Caenorhabditis elegans: one gene and its partner. The protein of the gene in region 1 interacts with the protein of each later gene in a biochemical or structural test. Each region holds a gene or a part of one and is shown in the gene's direction. Other genes may lie near its edges. The genes, in order: dmsr-2 and nlp-13.

Region 1 (3,923 bases):
GTGGCGGCTTCTTCCCCTTCTTCTTCTCCTCAATTTAAATCTTTTTTTTATCCAGCCATATTCCACAAATTATTTGTATCATCTGCAATTGACACCATGTCCACTTTTCCTTCAAAACCGTGAGCCCACTTCCTCCCCAAGTGGGCGTGGCCTGAGCCCACTTTTTTTGGGTGTCAGCTCGGCTCCGCCCACTTGGTGGAAATGGAGGAGAGCAGCGGAGCAGCTCACAGACTTTTGAGCTGATAATGTGTGCAAATTTTTTGAAATTTGCACACGGGTCTTGCAACGAAATGTTTATAATTTTTTTAATCAATTATTCAAAGTGGAAGAGTTTTTGAAACTTCTAGGCCACGAGAATAAATTTTTCAGGGGATCCTCATGATGTCCCAAAATTAAAAATTGTTCGGTGGCCTAGAATTTCGGAAAACTCTTCCACCCTGCAATGATACAATGAAGTTCCCAAAAATTAGACTGCATTGAAGTTTCTAGGCCACCATTAACCTTTTGGTGGCCGTAAGGGACACTTCCTACCCCACCTGCTAACTTTCAGGTTAAAAAAACTGATGATTTTTCAAAGCAATATAAAAGTAAAGTAATGTTTTCTAGGCCACCATTCTCCTCCTCGTGACTGTGGGAGTATCTAACCCCACAACACAACTTTTTGGTTTTTCTAGGCCATCACATCCTTACTGGTGGCCGCAGGAGTATCCTCTTACCTTTCAGATTTTATTTTTTATTTTCTAGGCCACCAAATTCCTCTTGGCGACCGCGGGGTTACCCGCAAACCCCAGTTTCTGTTTTCAGTTTTCTAGGCCATCACATCCTTACTGGTGGCCGTAGGAGTATCCTCTTACCTTTCAGATTTTATTTTTGATTTTCTAGGGCACCATATTCCTACTGGTGACCGTGGGGGTACCAGCAACCCCCAGTTTCAATTTTTAATTTCCTAGGCCACCATAGTTATCCAGGTGGCCGTGAGGGTATCCCCTTACCTCTCTGATTTTATTTTTGATTTTCTAGGCCACCATAGTCCTTCTGGTGGCTGTGGGGATCCATGGGAGTACCAGCAACCCCCAGTTTCAATTTTAAATTTTCTAGGCCACCACATCACTCTTGGTGGCCGTGGGGGTACCCGCAACCACCCAGTTTCTGTTTTAATTTTCTAGGCCACCATAGCCCTCTTGGTGGCTGTGGGATTACCCGCAACCCCCAGTTTCTGTTTTCACTTTTCTAGGCCACCAAATTCCTCTTGGCGACCGTGGGAGACCCCGCTCACCCCCAGCTACTGTTTTCAATTTTCTAGGCCACCATTCTCCTCCTGGTGGCCGTGTGGGTACCCCACTCCCCCTCAGATTCAATTTTAAATTTCTAGGCCACCACATCCCTATTGGCGGCCTTGTGGGACCCCGCTAGCCCAAGCTTCAATTTTAAATTTTCTAGGCCACCATAGTCCTCCTAGCGGCCGTGGGGCTACCCCACTCCCCCTCAGAATCAATTTTTGATTTTCCAAAGCCTATATAATTCTAGATATGTTTTTTTTCGACCCACCACTGCTGAATAGTATCGTATTTCTCTTCTTCCTGTGCTCTCAAGAATTTATTTAAAATGAAAAAATTGGAACGGATGGAAAAAATAGCCGGACAAAAGTTGTGAATTTACATAACTCAAGAAGTCACTCTCTTTCCTTTTTTCTTGTGCCGTTCTTCTCGAGAATTTTGCTTTTTTTTCACGACGGGGCCCGCTTCTCCTCGTCTCGTAATTTAATTCAAGTTTTTGGTCTGCCGGAAAGCAAATTTTTTTCTTCATTTTTTTTTTGCTTTTTGGGCGGTCCCCCTCTAAATCAAGTTTCCTGTGACATTTCCCCGAGAACGAAAAGTTCACCTTTGCTCCAAAATGTGATGCTCAATTCTAAAATGCTCATAAATTTCAGACCCTCTCAAATAATTATTCAACATGAGTTGCATGGGTCTCAACACGACGGAGCTGCAGGAGGCCAGGGACTACTTTCGGCAGGTAAAGCTACCGTGCTCTATTGATAAACAGATGTTTTTATAGAGGGCAGGGGTGGATACTGTAGTTTTTATAAATTTTTCGGGTCTCACAGCGATTTTGAATTTTTCAGATTTTAACAAAACATTGAATTGAAAAAGAAATCTGGTGGCCTAGAAATTTCAAAACCCTGTAACACCGGATTCCACCTTCCGATTTTTTGCAATTTTCTAGGCCACGTAAAATCTGGCGCAGCCACCGAGGTACTTTGGTGGCCTAGAAATTTCAAAACCCCATGACTATGGTTCCCATTATCAGATTTGGTTTTTTTTTGCAATTTTCTAGACCACGTAAAATCTGACGCGGTCCCTGAAGGCCTAGAAATTCCAAAACCACCTAAATTTCGTTTTTTTTGTCCTATTGCCTAAATATTTCACCAAAGTAGTAGTAGTTGCTTCATTAAAAAAAGACAATGGAAGAAGAATCTCTAGGCCACGTGTTGAAAAAAGTTGTTTTTGAATTAAAATTTGCATATTATTATTATTGCTTCTAGTAATCATGTTCGTCATCTCCCATTTCCTGTAACATATGAAAGTCAAATTCCAGCTCTAGCTCTCCGAGCCGCAAACACCTAATTATCACGTTTTGCTCTCCCAACTCGACCGACCGGTGGCTCATTTCTATTCTTTTCTCAGTCTCTTGTTCAAAAAAAAAAGGAAAAACATACATATATATGTGAATGTGAACACAAAATATACATTAATTATCGGACTGATTCATATTTGTACATTTCCCTTATTATGGAAATGTGTGGGAGCTGCTACTGTACAAAAAATGAGCATAACACGTCGGCTTGGGGGGACTAGCGTGGCCTAGAAAACTCAAGGTGGCCTAGTTTTTAGTCTTAAAATTTCTGCTCCCTTCTTAAAAGCTTACAAATCTCAAGTTGATCTATGTCACTAATTCAGACAACTCAAAGAAAGATCACAGTTCTGGGAGAGGAGAACCCAGAAATTGCTTGCGTGGCCTAGAATTTTCAAGGTGACCTAGTTTTTTTTTAAAAATTTTGTACAGTTTGAGGACTGAAGGCTTAACAAACATGTACCCAGAAATTTCCAGGTGGCCTAGGAACTTCAAAATGGTCTAGTTTTCAAATTTACACCTGCCCGACCCCCTAGAAGTTATTCACCAAAGTTTTGCGGTGGCCTTGAATGTACTAGGTATAATTTGAAAAAGTTTAACTAGCTTTTAAAGGTTTTTAACAAAAAAACCCAATTATGAAATTTCTAGGCCACCTGAAAATTCCAAGTACTGTAAGTTTCTCTTTTTCAATAAATTTTTCCTGATTTCTTGTCATCCAGTTACTTTGCCAATTAAAAACGTGAATTTGATAAACAACAGAAATTCAAATCCGTGGCCTAGGTTTCAATTCCTCTTCCACAGAGCAGTGGGGGCACACAGCAACCTCAGCAAAAAAAGGGTCACCCAGCAAAAAAAAATTTGATTTTTTCAACTAACATTTACCTTATCATAGAAATACCCCAATTTTTGGTTTTCTAGGCCACCAAAATCTTTCTGGTGTTCGTGGATGGCTTGGCAACTACAAAATCTACCTTCTAAATCAAAATTTCCAATTTTTCCGAGAACGTGAGCTCCTGAAGTTTCTAGTGATCTAGAGAACCTTGACCGCTTCGAGCTTCACCCTTTTCATTGAATCCTTATCGGGTTTTTTTTCCTATTCTACAACACATTCCCCTTTTCAGCGTAACACCAAAATCGAATCATGCTACGGGAGAAAGAGTAAAAGGGATGGGCAAAAAAAAGAACACACGGCAATGAAATTGAGTTTTTGCGCGGGAAGGGATAGGGCGAGAAAAAGAGCATCAACTCTTCTGCATCATCGACCTTTTGGGACATTGAGGGGACATTTTTGG
Region 2 (3,923 bases), on another chromosome or scaffold:
CCTTTAAAGGCGCACGGATTTGTCCGGAAGGGTTGCCGCAAGATAACAGATACTGTAGCCTCTCCTAATTTTCAGGTAATTATCTATTTTCGTGATGGGACCCAACAAAATCTGAACAAAATCATGCGTATCTAGGTAGAGGTTTCTGAAGGCGTTTGGATAAAGATTGAAGGCTTGAAATCTTTATTTTGCAAAACAATATTTCGGCTCAATTTTGCATCATTATAACAATATTTTGTTGAAGTTTTGCTGATCCGGATTTTCAATCAGTTGTATTTATTTAGGGGGTTTTAAGCATCTTGAATGATTAATTATTCGAACCAGCTGGATCCTGAGGAGTGCCTGAAAAAAACTAGCAGCCATTTTTCTCAATTAATAATCAGAGGTAATATATATTGTCAGAGTAAAAAACTGTGCCATCGAATTTATCTGAAACTGAGTATGCGAGAATTCCCCTTAAACCTCATGAGGCTATTCTCTCACCATTTAACAATTGTCTACATTTTTTTCTCATGAAACATTTATACAAACTATTTTCTCTCTCAGTTTTTTCGTTAACGGAATCCCTAAACTTGTAACTTCATACCCCCTTACGTCTTTTCTTGGTCTTTTGTCCTCTTATCCGAAATTAGATATTGCTCCCTTTTTTCGGGATTTGTAGCCGATTTGGAGTTGGTATTCTGTTTGAGGAAAAGAAAGTTCAGAATTTCACTTTTCGTTTGTTTGTAACGTTTGTATATAGTTTTTAAATTTAGCGGGAAGATCCAATTTTTTGGGAAAAAAAATTTTACGCGAAATTCAAATTGCCACAGAAACAAGAGAATTTCTGGAATTTTCTTTAAAGTTCTGAACAGTTTCAATAATTTCTGGAAAGTTTCAGATATCTTAGAAAAGTTCTGGAATTTCACGAAAACTTTTGGAAATATCAAGAAAAATCTGGAAAAAAAAACTAGAAACTTTAGTAAGGCTCTCGAAACTTCTGGAAACATCTATAAAAATTTGGAAAAATATGCAAACTTCTGGGTTCTGAAATTTTTTTTTCAATTTTTTGGAAACTCCTAAAAATCTGGACAAAAACTAGAAATTTTAGTAAGGTTCGAAAAATTCTTAGAAAAAAAAACAGTTCGAGTCAGTTCGGGAAGCTTTGAAAATTTTCTGGACAGTTTCAGCAATTTTTGAAAAGTTTTGGAAGTTTCTGGAAACATCTAGAAAAATTTTGAAAAATCTAGAAATTTTTTTAAATTTCTAGAAAAGCTTGCAATCTTCTGGAAACTCCTAAAAAATATGGAAAGTCATATTATAGTTTGTAGTTTGTGACGTCATAGCTCAATGTATCTAAAAGAAAACTTAGTGCCAACTTACACATAGGATAGTTGTACAGTCGACGAATTGCGTTCGCCCGTGAAGCTATAGCTTTAATTATTCGAAATACTTCCTCAAAATGAAAAAAAAATTCTGAAGGTGTTCTGTGATATTTGCTTCCATTTTTTTAACTCACTCATTTTGTTTTTTTCAACTTTTTTCAACAAAAATATCTCAAACATCGCCCACCCCCCTCAAATTCGTCATGTTTCGTCGTCAATTTTCCTTTTTTACTATACGTTTTCATCATACAGCCTACAACAAAAATCTGCTATCTCATTAGTCAAAAATCTCAAAAAATGTTAGTCACTATGCTAGATTTTTACAGTAAAAAATGTCTAATGACGTTCCTAATTAGTGAATCTTGGTTTTTGTCCATCAGCTCCCCGAAAAACAAAAGAAAACCCTTATTAAAGAAGCCACCAAGCCATGGAAACTCTCATTGTTCTTCTTCTACCATTTTTTCTTGACTTGTCATTTTGAATAATTTCGTTCATTTTCTCATTTTTCCATTTACGGTAGGCTTTCAAGATTGATAGGTTCACCTCTTTTTTATGACGTCAAGAACGAGAAAAAAAACGGCGAGGAGGAAAAGGGCGTGTCCTATTGAGATTGAGATGCTCTTGGAGCAGCACACTTTGCTGTTGAACAGCAGCCGGGATGTTTTAAAATTTTCTGGTGTTTCAGAGAACGATACCATCAATTTTTGTGAAAAAGCTTAGTGTGAAATTAAGCTAGACTCTTTCATGTGATTTTTAAAAATAACAAGGGCTTCGGTCTAGACTAGATTTCTTGAACTTGAACTAACTAGAAGTCCACATTTTTTTCTATTTTTTTCCATAATTTTATACATTATGGATGCTCCCTTTTACTTTTTACACCATCACTTCCACTAAAAAATTCTTTCTTCCAGGGTTCCAACATGCAACGATCTCTTCAGATCTTCTGCATCATGTCCGCCATCGCAATGGCATACAGTCAAGGTTTGTGTTGTGTCATTTGATCAGAAACAACCAAACATTAAAGGCGAAATTCGAACCTTTTCCTCCTAATTTCATTGACTAATTGTAACAAAATCCTCTGAGCTTCAAAAATGATGTCAGCTCAGCGGAATCTTTGCAACTGAACACTTTCCAAAATTCCCAAAATTCCCAAAATTTTTAAGGTAGTCGTGACGATAATCAGAGTGCAAAGCGCAACGATTTCTCCCGTGACATCATGTCATTTGGAAAGAGGTCTGGAAACACAGCCGACTTGTATGATCGGAGAATTATGGCTTTTGGAAAGAGACAACCAAGTGTAAGTTGGTGGAAGTTGGGCAATATATTAGAAAAGTACAGTAATCCTACCGTAATCTGATAGTAACTAGTGGTAGTTGAGGTGCCATGTATTTATATAAAATGAGCCATGTTCTCCCAATATTTTTTTTGTATTTAATTTATCTGAGAATAGCTTCAATTTCAATTGAAACAATTGAAAAGACTCCCAAAAAATGTCTAAAAGTCCGACAATTAATCAAAACTCTTTTCCGGTAGTTTACAATTTTCAGACATTTTTATGAGTACTTTTTCCTTTGCAACAATTAAAATTTAAGCGATACTACATTTCCGCGATACTTGAATTTAAGTAATCAATATTCTATAACAGAATTTCAATGAATAATATTAAGAAAACATGCCACGCTGTCTCATTTTGTAGAATTGCTCGCAAACCTCGGCTGCGCATGATCCTTGAGGATCTCGGTGATGGGCTCAAACTAAAATCTAAAAACTACAAACTACACATTACACTACAGTAAAACAAATTACTTTAATCTAACCCAGTCATGTTACCAATTGATACTACTTCGCTAAATTAGGCCGCGGTAGACTACATAATTTTCCGCGAGACTTGAATTTTGTCGGCTGCTCACCCCAACTATGATAAATACATAATAACCTATCATATTTCAGTACGACAGAGACATCATGTCATTCGGCAAACGATCGGCTCCCAGCGACTTCTCGCGAGACATCATGAGCTTCGGAAAGCGATCCTCCTCTATGGTACTACCCTCTTTTTCTTATTTTCTACGTCGTTTCCGTAATCCATCTATTCTACAGTACGACCGTGACATCATGTCATTCGGCAAACGTTCACCCGTCGACTACGATCGTCCGATTATGGCATTCGGAAAGCGGGCCGAGGACTACGAACGTCAGATCATGGCCTTCGGACGGCGCAAGTAAACCATTTGGTTGATGACAATTGGGCACCCTTCATCTTGTGTATAATACTCGTTTAAGACTCATTTTAAAGCGTAATTTGATTTTTTTTTCATCTCATTTGAAATAAGAAAATTGTGTTGTTTCACCCCCTTCATCCCATTCAACAAGCGTTCAGTTTATTCGGATCTTTGTCTATTTCTTCTCTTGCCAATTCTCTATGCTTCCCTACTTATGATCTCATCATTCATTTCAACCTCCCCCCAAAAAAACCTCTCATCCCCACCTTTTTCTTATGTGCGTGCGCAGACGGACGAAAAAAAATGAAGTTGAATGTTAGACCATGTTTCCGATTTT

Evidence for each region.
Region 2: the proteins of dmsr-2 (region 1) and nlp-13 interact in a test that uses a peptide from one of them, tested with the Caenorhabditis elegans proteins (one large-scale study listed by BioGRID).

The regions. Positions count from the first base shown.
Region 1 is NC_003279.8:2,531,338-2,535,260, forward strand, and holds the start of dmsr-2 (G-protein coupled receptors family 1 profile domain-containing protein), read left to right. Parts: upstream 1-1,930; 5' UTR 1,931-1,953; coding exon 1,954-2,013; intron 2,014-3,923.
Region 2 is NC_003283.11:4,234,143-4,238,065, forward strand, and holds nlp-13 (Neuropeptide-Like Protein), read left to right. Parts: upstream 1-2,275; 5' UTR 2,276-2,284; coding exon 2,285-2,345; intron 2,346-2,527; coding exon 2,528-2,661; intron 2,662-3,314; coding exon 3,315-3,407; intron 3,408-3,464; coding exon 3,465-3,590; 3' UTR 3,591-3,914; downstream 3,915-3,923.